2 linked regions of the Coturnix japonica genome follow. The protein of the gene in region 1 purifies or fractionates together with the protein of each later gene. This does not show direct contact. Links are inferred from orthologs where the notes say so. Each region holds a gene or a part of one and is shown on either strand. Other genes may lie near its edges.

Evidence for each region.
Region 2: the proteins of DVL1 (region 1) and AXIN1 purify together in Homo sapiens (affinity purification with western blotting; 3 studies listed by BioGRID). This does not show direct contact. The link is inferred for Coturnix japonica from reciprocal best matches to the Homo sapiens genes DVL1 and AXIN1.

What each region holds. Positions count from the first base shown.
Region 1 is NC_029536.1:1,915,982-1,920,506, forward strand, and holds the start of DVL1 (segment polarity protein dishevelled homolog DVL-1), read left to right. Parts: upstream 1-1,560; 5' UTR 1,561-1,880; coding exon 1,881-2,050; intron 2,051-4,505; exon of another isoform or gene 4,506-4,520; coding exon of another isoform or gene 4,521-4,525. UniProt on the Homo sapiens protein: Participates in Wnt signaling by binding to the cytoplasmic C-terminus of frizzled family members and transducing the Wnt signal to down-stream effectors. Plays a role both in canonical and non-canonical Wnt signaling.
Region 2 is NC_029529.1:10,796,044-10,799,850, forward strand, and holds part of AXIN1 (axin-1), read left to right. Parts: intron 1-2,780; coding exon 2,781-3,334; intron 3,335-3,807. UniProt on the Homo sapiens protein: Component of the beta-catenin destruction complex required for regulating CTNNB1 levels through phosphorylation and ubiquitination, and modulating Wnt-signaling.

The sequences.
Region 1 (4,525 bases):
AATCTTGCTGATGTGAATACAGTGAGATGAAGGGTAGCTGCGTATCTCCAGGTCACTGTGTTTCTAATCTGGAAGGAATCTTCCCTGGCTCATAGGTATCATCCCTTTAGTTCCATAAAATCCACACTGCTGGCCTCCTTGCATGGCCCACCAGCCCTACAAGGGGACGAGAGCTCAGAGCTTTTCTCCTTGTATCCCTTTAAACTAATATGTATTTGCTAAGCACCCAAAGCATGATGAGCTTTTGGAATTCACTGAGACAAGCAGCCACCATCGCTCTAATTCAAAGGAGCCCTTTTCAAAAGGCTCGGCTCTTCTCTGCGTGGTAATGAAGTGAACTGCTGTATAAATGAAGCAAAGGGTGGGCAGCTTTCATGCCTCAGGACACTATCTGCTCCCTGCAGGGGTCAGTGAGACTATTTGCTCTGTCACGGAGAGCACGGCACTAATAGCAAGAGATTTTATGCCTTATATTTATTTTCCACTGAAGTGTTAAGCACTGAACTCTGCAAGAAACGAGATATTAGCCCTGATGGACCAGTGGTTTGCTCAGGTGGCCCATCCTGCATTCCCATGTACACTCTTTAATTGGATTAGCTTGTGGTTTGACTGTGACATGAAAGTGGGTTATCTCTTCGGTGCTTTATAGGGACGTGGAAAGCTTTTTTGTGAGTCATAGATTCAGCCTCATCATATCTGTTCCAAGGTGGTATTCTGACAATTATACGACTCATTATATTTTCAGCCTTCAAAAGCAAAAGGGGAGCCAATAGAGCAGGAGCAGGAGGTCATTAAGTATGAACTGAAGAGACCAAAAGGGCTGGATGGATGGTTATGCTTTGCCTGGGTTTTGTATTGAAAACACTCCATCCCTCAGTGTATCAGAGCACATAGCTGTTGTGTAGTCATCCCAGAGAGCCTTTCCCATTCTTTACCTGGAGCTCCCTACTGTTGTCAGTATCTCTAAAGGCATTTTTTGTATAGACAGTCAACAGTGTCTCCAACCCGTTTCTTCCTTCTCCCCTCCTTTATGATCCTCGTTGCCTATCCTTACAGCTTCCTTTACAAATGCTTTATGTTAACTGGTTTTGCTCCCTCTCCAGCTCATTTCCCTATCCCCCATTAGTCACAGAGAGCCCCACCTTCATTTCCTATTATCTCAATGTAAACTCCAATGACTTCATAAGTAGGTGCACAGGAAACAGGGATGAGTCTTTATTAACACCAAATTGTTCAGATTCATAAATAGGGGACACAGGAAATAGGGATGCGTCTTTATGTTGATCAGAGCCACGAATATCCACGCTTTGTCATTTACAGAAGCTTTGGAGAAGCCAAATGAGCTCATGGTGGGCAGGGAGTCCACAGAACCCACTGTATGCTTTTATTTCCCCCTATTTGGAGGCATCCCTCCGCTCGCAGCCCGTCCCCGCTGCAGTGCCGTCGTGCCGGCGGGGGGCGGCGGGCGAGAGCCGGGTTGTCCACGGGCCGAGAGGCGGCAGGAGGAGGAGGAGGAGGAGAGGATAAGGGGAGAGAAGGAGGAGGAAGAGGAGGAGGAGGAGGGCGGCTCGCCCGCTGCCCCCCCGCTGCCCACCGGCCCCGGGGCTGGGTGCCGCATCGGCCCCGCTGCCCAGCGCGGCGGGGGGCGGCGGGAGGATGTACTCGGGGCGGGAGGCGGCGGTGAAGAAGGGCTGCCGTTCCCGGGTCGGGCAGCTAGAGAGCAGTGCAGGGAGAGGAATCCCGGCCCAGCAGCACGGCGGAGGCCGGGAGATACGAGCTGCCTTCCTGTGTGGGGCGGCCGCGGGCTGGAGGCGCTGAGCGGAGCCCCGGGCCGCGTCCCCTCATCGCATTGCTCGCCCCCCCAGCTCCTCCCTTCTCTCATGGCGGAGACTAAAATCATTTACCACATCGACGAAGAAGAAACCCCTTACCTGGTGAAACTGCCCGTCCCTCCGGAAAAAGTCACTTTAGCTGATTTTAAAAATGTCCTCAGCAACCGGCCCGTGCACAGCTATAAATTCTTCTTCAAATCTATGGATCAGGATTTCGGGTGAGCTGAGGGGCGGTGGAGGTACCGGGAGGGGGATATGAGGGGGGGGGTCGCCGCTCTCCGTTCCCTCTGACAGCCGGGTTTCGGCCCCGGATGGGAGAGCACCTGCTCGGTTGGATGGCGGCGGTCAGGCGCTTATCGCGGTGCTGGGCTGCGTTTGGAAGCTCCATGGAGCTCGGTTCGGGCCCTGCCGGCCGGGTGCGGCCCTGCCCCGAGCCGCGCACTGCGGCACCCGCTGGGCGGTATAGGCCCCGCCGGCACCGGGGGGGAGCGGCGGCCGCTAACATGGCGGCCCGGCGCTGACAGCTCCACACACGGCCCTCGGCTCGTTGCTTGTCCTCGTCCTCCGGGCTGAGGGGAACCAGGCCTGAAAACCTCCTCCCCTTCTGGGGCTGCTGGTGTCGGGTTGTGCTGCTTCTCCTGAGGGCTCTCCCAGCCCACCGGCAGCTGTCAAAGCCCCGAGTACCAGAGCTCGGCTGTCCTCTTCGTACCGGCCTTATCTGTGGTCGCGATAAAGGAAACCCAATAAAAAGGCGTTTGACAGCTCGCCAGACAGTAACTTTCAAAACGTGATGAATCCTTTTGTAGTAAATCGCTTTGTACTCGCATCTGTCGATTTTTTGTTGTTGTTGTTATGTATTTAAATGCCTCGCCAGCAAAAGAGAGCAGGTCTGTGGAATACTAATACAGCCCTGAACCTGTGTAACAGTGGGGTTGGGTGGTGAAACACATCACCCTATTACGTGCCATGCTGGCTTTCCCCTTATCCCTAAGACCCAAAGCTACCCCTGTTCTGCTCCATCCATCCACCAAGGAATGTGGATATTGTTTGTTGCCATGTATTTCTGCTGTGGCAATGTATTAGCCTTGGCACGCCGCTGTAGGAACGCTCCTGCGTTGACTTGTTGTTGTTCTGGATTGTGAAAACCACGTTTAGGAAGCATCTCTATGAAGTGTTGGTTTGCAAAATAGGGCTTTTGAAAACTCCTATTCATAAATCTCTCTCCTTTTTCCCCCCTCTAAGTGATGGACACACGCACACTCTGTAGCTGGCTTAGGAATCCGGGCGCTGTGTTGTTGTGGTGCAGCCTCAATGAAAGCTGATGGATTTGTTCAGACAGCTCTTGTGTTCATCACCACTGCTCTGCAGATGTTTGGTGTGAGGGAGAGTGAAAGCAGTGCTGATGCTGGTGGGTGCGCTGGGGGCATCTCCGGCACGTGTGGGCTGAGCAAGCAATGTAAATCCTATGGTGGATTCTCATTTGTCTCAAAACTTAAAGGGAGATGGGCTGTTCTCCTTGTCTTGCCCTAGAAATGGGGATGGTGGAGGATGAAGGGCTGTGAACTAGGCTTAGCACCATAAATTCTGCCTCTCTCATTTAGGCGGTGGTCTCAGATGCAACCGTGCAATGTGAGGGCTTGTTTGTGAGGGATCATGCAATCGTTAAGGTTGGAAATGACCACTGAGATCATCAAATCCAACCCACCCCCACTGTGCCCCACTCAATGCAGGGGCATCTCCAGGGATGGTGACTCCTGCACTTCCCTGGGCAGGAGGATGACTATGAACTGCGATGCCATCAGGTAGCTTGGAACTGAACGTGAATCAGTTCAGCAGCAAATAGAGGTTTGTGACTTTGGGGCTGTAAAGGCTCAGAGGACCCCCATAGGATGCTGGCAGCTGAATGCACATCTCTAATTCCCATGAAGACTGGCTGCTCTGCCCTCAGGATGAAGGTATGACCAAGGCTGCTGTGATCTGATCTTCATGTGTATTCCAACCAACATCACAGTCCAGGTTAAGGCTCTCAGAGGTGCCGCTCCTGAGGTAGGAACCCATCATCTCAAACAGCTGGAGGTAACCCATGCCTCTAAAAGCTGTCAGTCACATTTTGGACTGTCATTCTCTGCAGTCTCAGCAAGTGTTAATGATAAATTGGGGTTTTTCTCCTAATCTTATCTACAAGCTGATTTTCATACTGTTGCAAATAGGTAATTATAGCTGCAGTCACCACTAGCCATGTGTTGTACGTCTAATTTCTGCCTTGCATACTTGCAGATGCCATCCAAACAAGCTTTATTGCAGTGTGTTCTGTAAATGGCACTTCAGCTACAGTAACACTTTGGTTTTCAGTGCTCTCCTCGCCTGTCCCTCGTGTCACTGCAAGCTGGCTGAGCAGAACTGTGACTTGGCACAGAGAGCATTGCTTGGCAGGGTGCTTTGTAAATCCCAGTATGGAGCAAAAAGTCAATCCTGCGTTAGGAGAGCAAATGTTTTCTTGGAGAAGTGATTGGGAACCAACGCAGCAACCCTGCACATGTTGTTGTAATCAAGGCCCGGCCTTTCCTGGATCCTGAAATAACGCAATAAATAATTGTGTTCAGAAACAGTGAATGTGTTGAATTGTTTCCAGTGGTGGAAGATAGAGTTGCTTACCATTGGGACAGAGCTGGCTGTGGACGTGGAGCCATGTC
Region 2 (3,807 bases), on another chromosome or scaffold:
AAGAAGTTGCCAGTAGCAATACCATAAAATCAGCAAATGCCTATGCCAGAGAATAAATTTAAGTCTGTCTAAACATATTTTTGTGTGACTTAATCTATTTTTAATCCCCAGCCTCCCACTATTGCTATGTATTAAACCTCTTTGCTGTCTACAGAATATATTTCATTGACTGGCTGGCATTTAGCATTAACCATTCAGGAAAAACTCAGAGTAAGCAACTGTAGTTTTTTTAGGTCAGTACTTTGGGTGCAAGAGCTGCTGGAATCAGCAAGAGGAGAGCTTGGATCCTCAGAGATCACAGTCCTGAGCACTAGGACTACAGGGTGACCTCTTACTGGTTCTGCATGGCTCATTGCACAGGGGAAACCATACGGCATTACTCACACTGGGCAGTTATCAGCTTAGCAGAGAAGCTGGAAATATTTTGCAAAAGCTTCAAAAAAAAGGTTTCTCCACCCCATACTGGGCTGCCTGCAGGTTCCCTTTCAAAGCCACATCATACAGCAGCATCTGAAAGAGATACCTGATAGAGAACCAGATGTCTTCTGCTGGAAAAAAAATAATAGGATTGTTTTTTTTTAAAGAAAACAACAAACCTAAAAGCTCTGAATTTGTTAATTATGTTGAGCAGGTGCAGGAGGTGATGGGAGGATGCTGCCTTGTTACTTTCTCAGCTGTATGGGAGCTGCAGGACTGCCTCCCAACCCAGTGAGTTTCAAATAAGCCAAGTGCAGGAGAAGTAAAACCATTGCTGAGATGCTCAATATTTGAGTGTAAAACGTTGTCTGAGTAGAGGGAAAATGCACTTTGCTTGAAGATATAAATGCACTCCTGTGCTAGGTGAGCTATTTCAGCCTGGCAGCCTGCAGGTGGGACTGGGAGATGTGGGGAGATGTGAAAGCAAGATATTGCTTATCCATAGCTCAGCAGCGCCTGTTCAGCCTCCCGGCTCCAAGGGAAGGACTCAGGCTGGGCTGTAGAGTAAAAATAGCTCAGCAGGCAGTCGGCAAAGTCGAAGCATCCGTCTCACTGTCGCTGGCTGTGCAAGCTGGCAGAGGATGTGCCTGCCGGTACCACGTCCCCCAAGCACCACCTAGTGGCTGTGCCACCTGAGGCTGCCCGGCACGGGCTGCAGGCAGCAGGGACCTGCATAGGGCACAGCCCTGGGCAGGAGTGGAGGCTGGTCCTCCTGGCTCCTCATGTTTGTGTGCAGCAGGCCCAGAAGTGCCAGGTGAGGGGCTGACTTGTGCCCAGTGCAGCTGCACTGAGCTCCTGGTTGTCTGGGGGGAGCCAACTTCCCAGAGCTTGGTGAAACAGATGAGCTGAGACAGGGCACAGTGAGACAGTGCATCCCTCCCCTTCCCTTAGCCCACCCTGACCTCAGTCCTTGAGCAGAACAATGTGGGTACCAGCCCTAAAAGCCTCCAAAGTATCGAGTGTGTGGCTGTGTTATCATAACCTGCTCATAATCATTTAACTCAGCATTATGGGTTTAGGCTGCACATACTCTGTCTTGTTCCTAAACCAGCTGTGCAGAGATGGGGTTTTACAGGCTGCAGTGTTGTCACTGGAGATGAAAGGTGCTCCTGAAGGTTTTAAAAGCAGTCTGTGAGAAGTGGGCTGTCTCCTGTGGGAATGGGTATCACGTCAGCCTGAGCTCCAGATCTGCAGAGTGACCTGCTGTCATCTGAGTCACTGTAACAGTGCTGCTGTGCTGTGGGATCAGCCTTGTTCCGAGGTGTTTGCACAACAGCCCGTTTCTGATCCCTGCCACATGGTGAGGCGGGTCTGAACAACTTCTGAAGTAGGTTCATATTGCAGAGAGAGGGGAATGTAAAGAGAAAACATTTGCAGTTCTCTGCCATGTTCCGCACCTGATTCATCTGCTGGGACTCGTTCTGTTGCATGCTTTTGCTCTGGGCAGCCCTGCTCTGCTCCTACCAGCTCTGAGCTCACCATGCTGCTCGGAGGGCTGGGCAGCAGCGTGGCCCCCTGGAGGAGCTGCTGGCAGAGGGCACAGCAGGCGCCCACATCTTCGGTGCTTTCAAAGGCTGCCATTGTCCTTGGCTGAGTTCTGAACCCCCAGGTGTGACGTGGGGAGGAAGTCTGTTATTTGCTTTCTCGCACTGTGGTTGGCAGCTGAGACTTTGAAGCTGAATAGCAAGTGATGGATGGGGACATCCGACAGGCAGAGCTGGTGGGAGGCAGTGTTTTCCAGCAGATGCACTTATCTGGCAGGGCAGAGATACCACACGCTGCAAATGATTCTCTGCTCCAAAGGAAGAAAAGAGAGCGGGATTAAAGCACTTGCATGGAATCCTACTTATGTAATTTTTAACAAATAAGAAGCCTGTTTTCCAATGAAGAAACTTCATAAATATTTGAGTTTATGTTGGAGCATAAAATCGTTTGTCAGCATCAAAACTGTGGCTGTCAGCACGGAGGAGTTTTATTCTTCCTGGCACAGCTGTAAGAGCCACTAACAGCAGCGTGTCCGAGGCTGCTGTGGGCCACGAGAGCAAGCAGGCAGTTACAGCCATTTCTTTATCTGCGTGGAGGGTTTGGCTGCAGTGTCAGTGGCTACAGGAAGGTGCCACAGCCTGGGGCAGGGCTCCAAAGAAGGGAACATCTCTCTATGTTGAACATATTCACAACATGGCTGGCCAAAGCCAAGGGTGACCCATCCGTGTGTTGGTAACAGTCGTGCTGTGAGCAGGAAGACCCCACAGACTTCTTCTGCCACCTTGCTGTCATTATAATTGTCCTCTTGTTTCTTGCAGGAAGAAGAAGGCGAGGATGCAGATCTCTCTTCTGGTCCTTCAGTCCTCAGCCACAAGATGCCTTCCGCCCAACCTTTTCATCACTTTGCCCCTCGCTACTCCGAGATGGGCTGTGCTGGGATGCAGATGAGAGATGCACATGAAGAAAACCCAGAAAGCATCCTGGATGAACACGTGCAACGTGTGATGAAAACACCAGGCTGTCAGTCTCCAGGCCCCGGCCGCCATTCGCCCAAGCCACGGTCTCCAGAAAGTGGCCACTTAGGGAAGCTGTCAGGGACACTTGGAACGATTCCTCCAGGGCATGGCAAACACACAACGAAATCAGGAATGAAACTGGATGCAGCTAACTTATACCACCATAAACATGTCTACCACCACATCCATCACCACAGCATGATGAAACCAAAAGAGCAAATTGAGGCCGAGGCCACTCAGAGAGTGCAGAACAGCTTTGCTTGGAATGTAGATTCACATAACTATGCAACAAAGTCAAGAAACTACTCTGAAAACTTGGGCATGGCCCCTGTCCCCATGGACTCTTTAGGCTACAGGTGAGTAGGGCAGCAGGGTGGCTGGGCCATATTTTCTTACAGGACGTGGCTTAAGGGCCTCCCACTGCGCTTCCTTTCAGAAATGAATATGCTTCCTAACAGCACTTAAAATCTCTGTGACCTGGTGATGAAATCCTCTAACCAGGATTTTTACTGGCCTTGGCTATAAAGTAGCACTTCTGCTCCTTAAAGCAGCAGAGGTGCTGGGGCTTCCCTGTGCTTTGGGAGGTGATAAAAGTAGGGCTGTGTCTCGGGATCTGGGTAACAGAAACCAGGTTCTTAAGCTGTTTATGAGAGAACAAAAAGGTTCATCTTTTTGCAAGGCCTGTTTTATTCACCAGAAGGTTTCCTTTCTCTTCCTGGCTAAGCAGTGGATGTTCTGGTGCTGCTGTGGCCTGCTATCCCAAGGGGACATTCTCCCTGACAGGGGCTTCTTTAGATGCAGTTCAGGATTCAGCTGGCTTTCTGGGCTG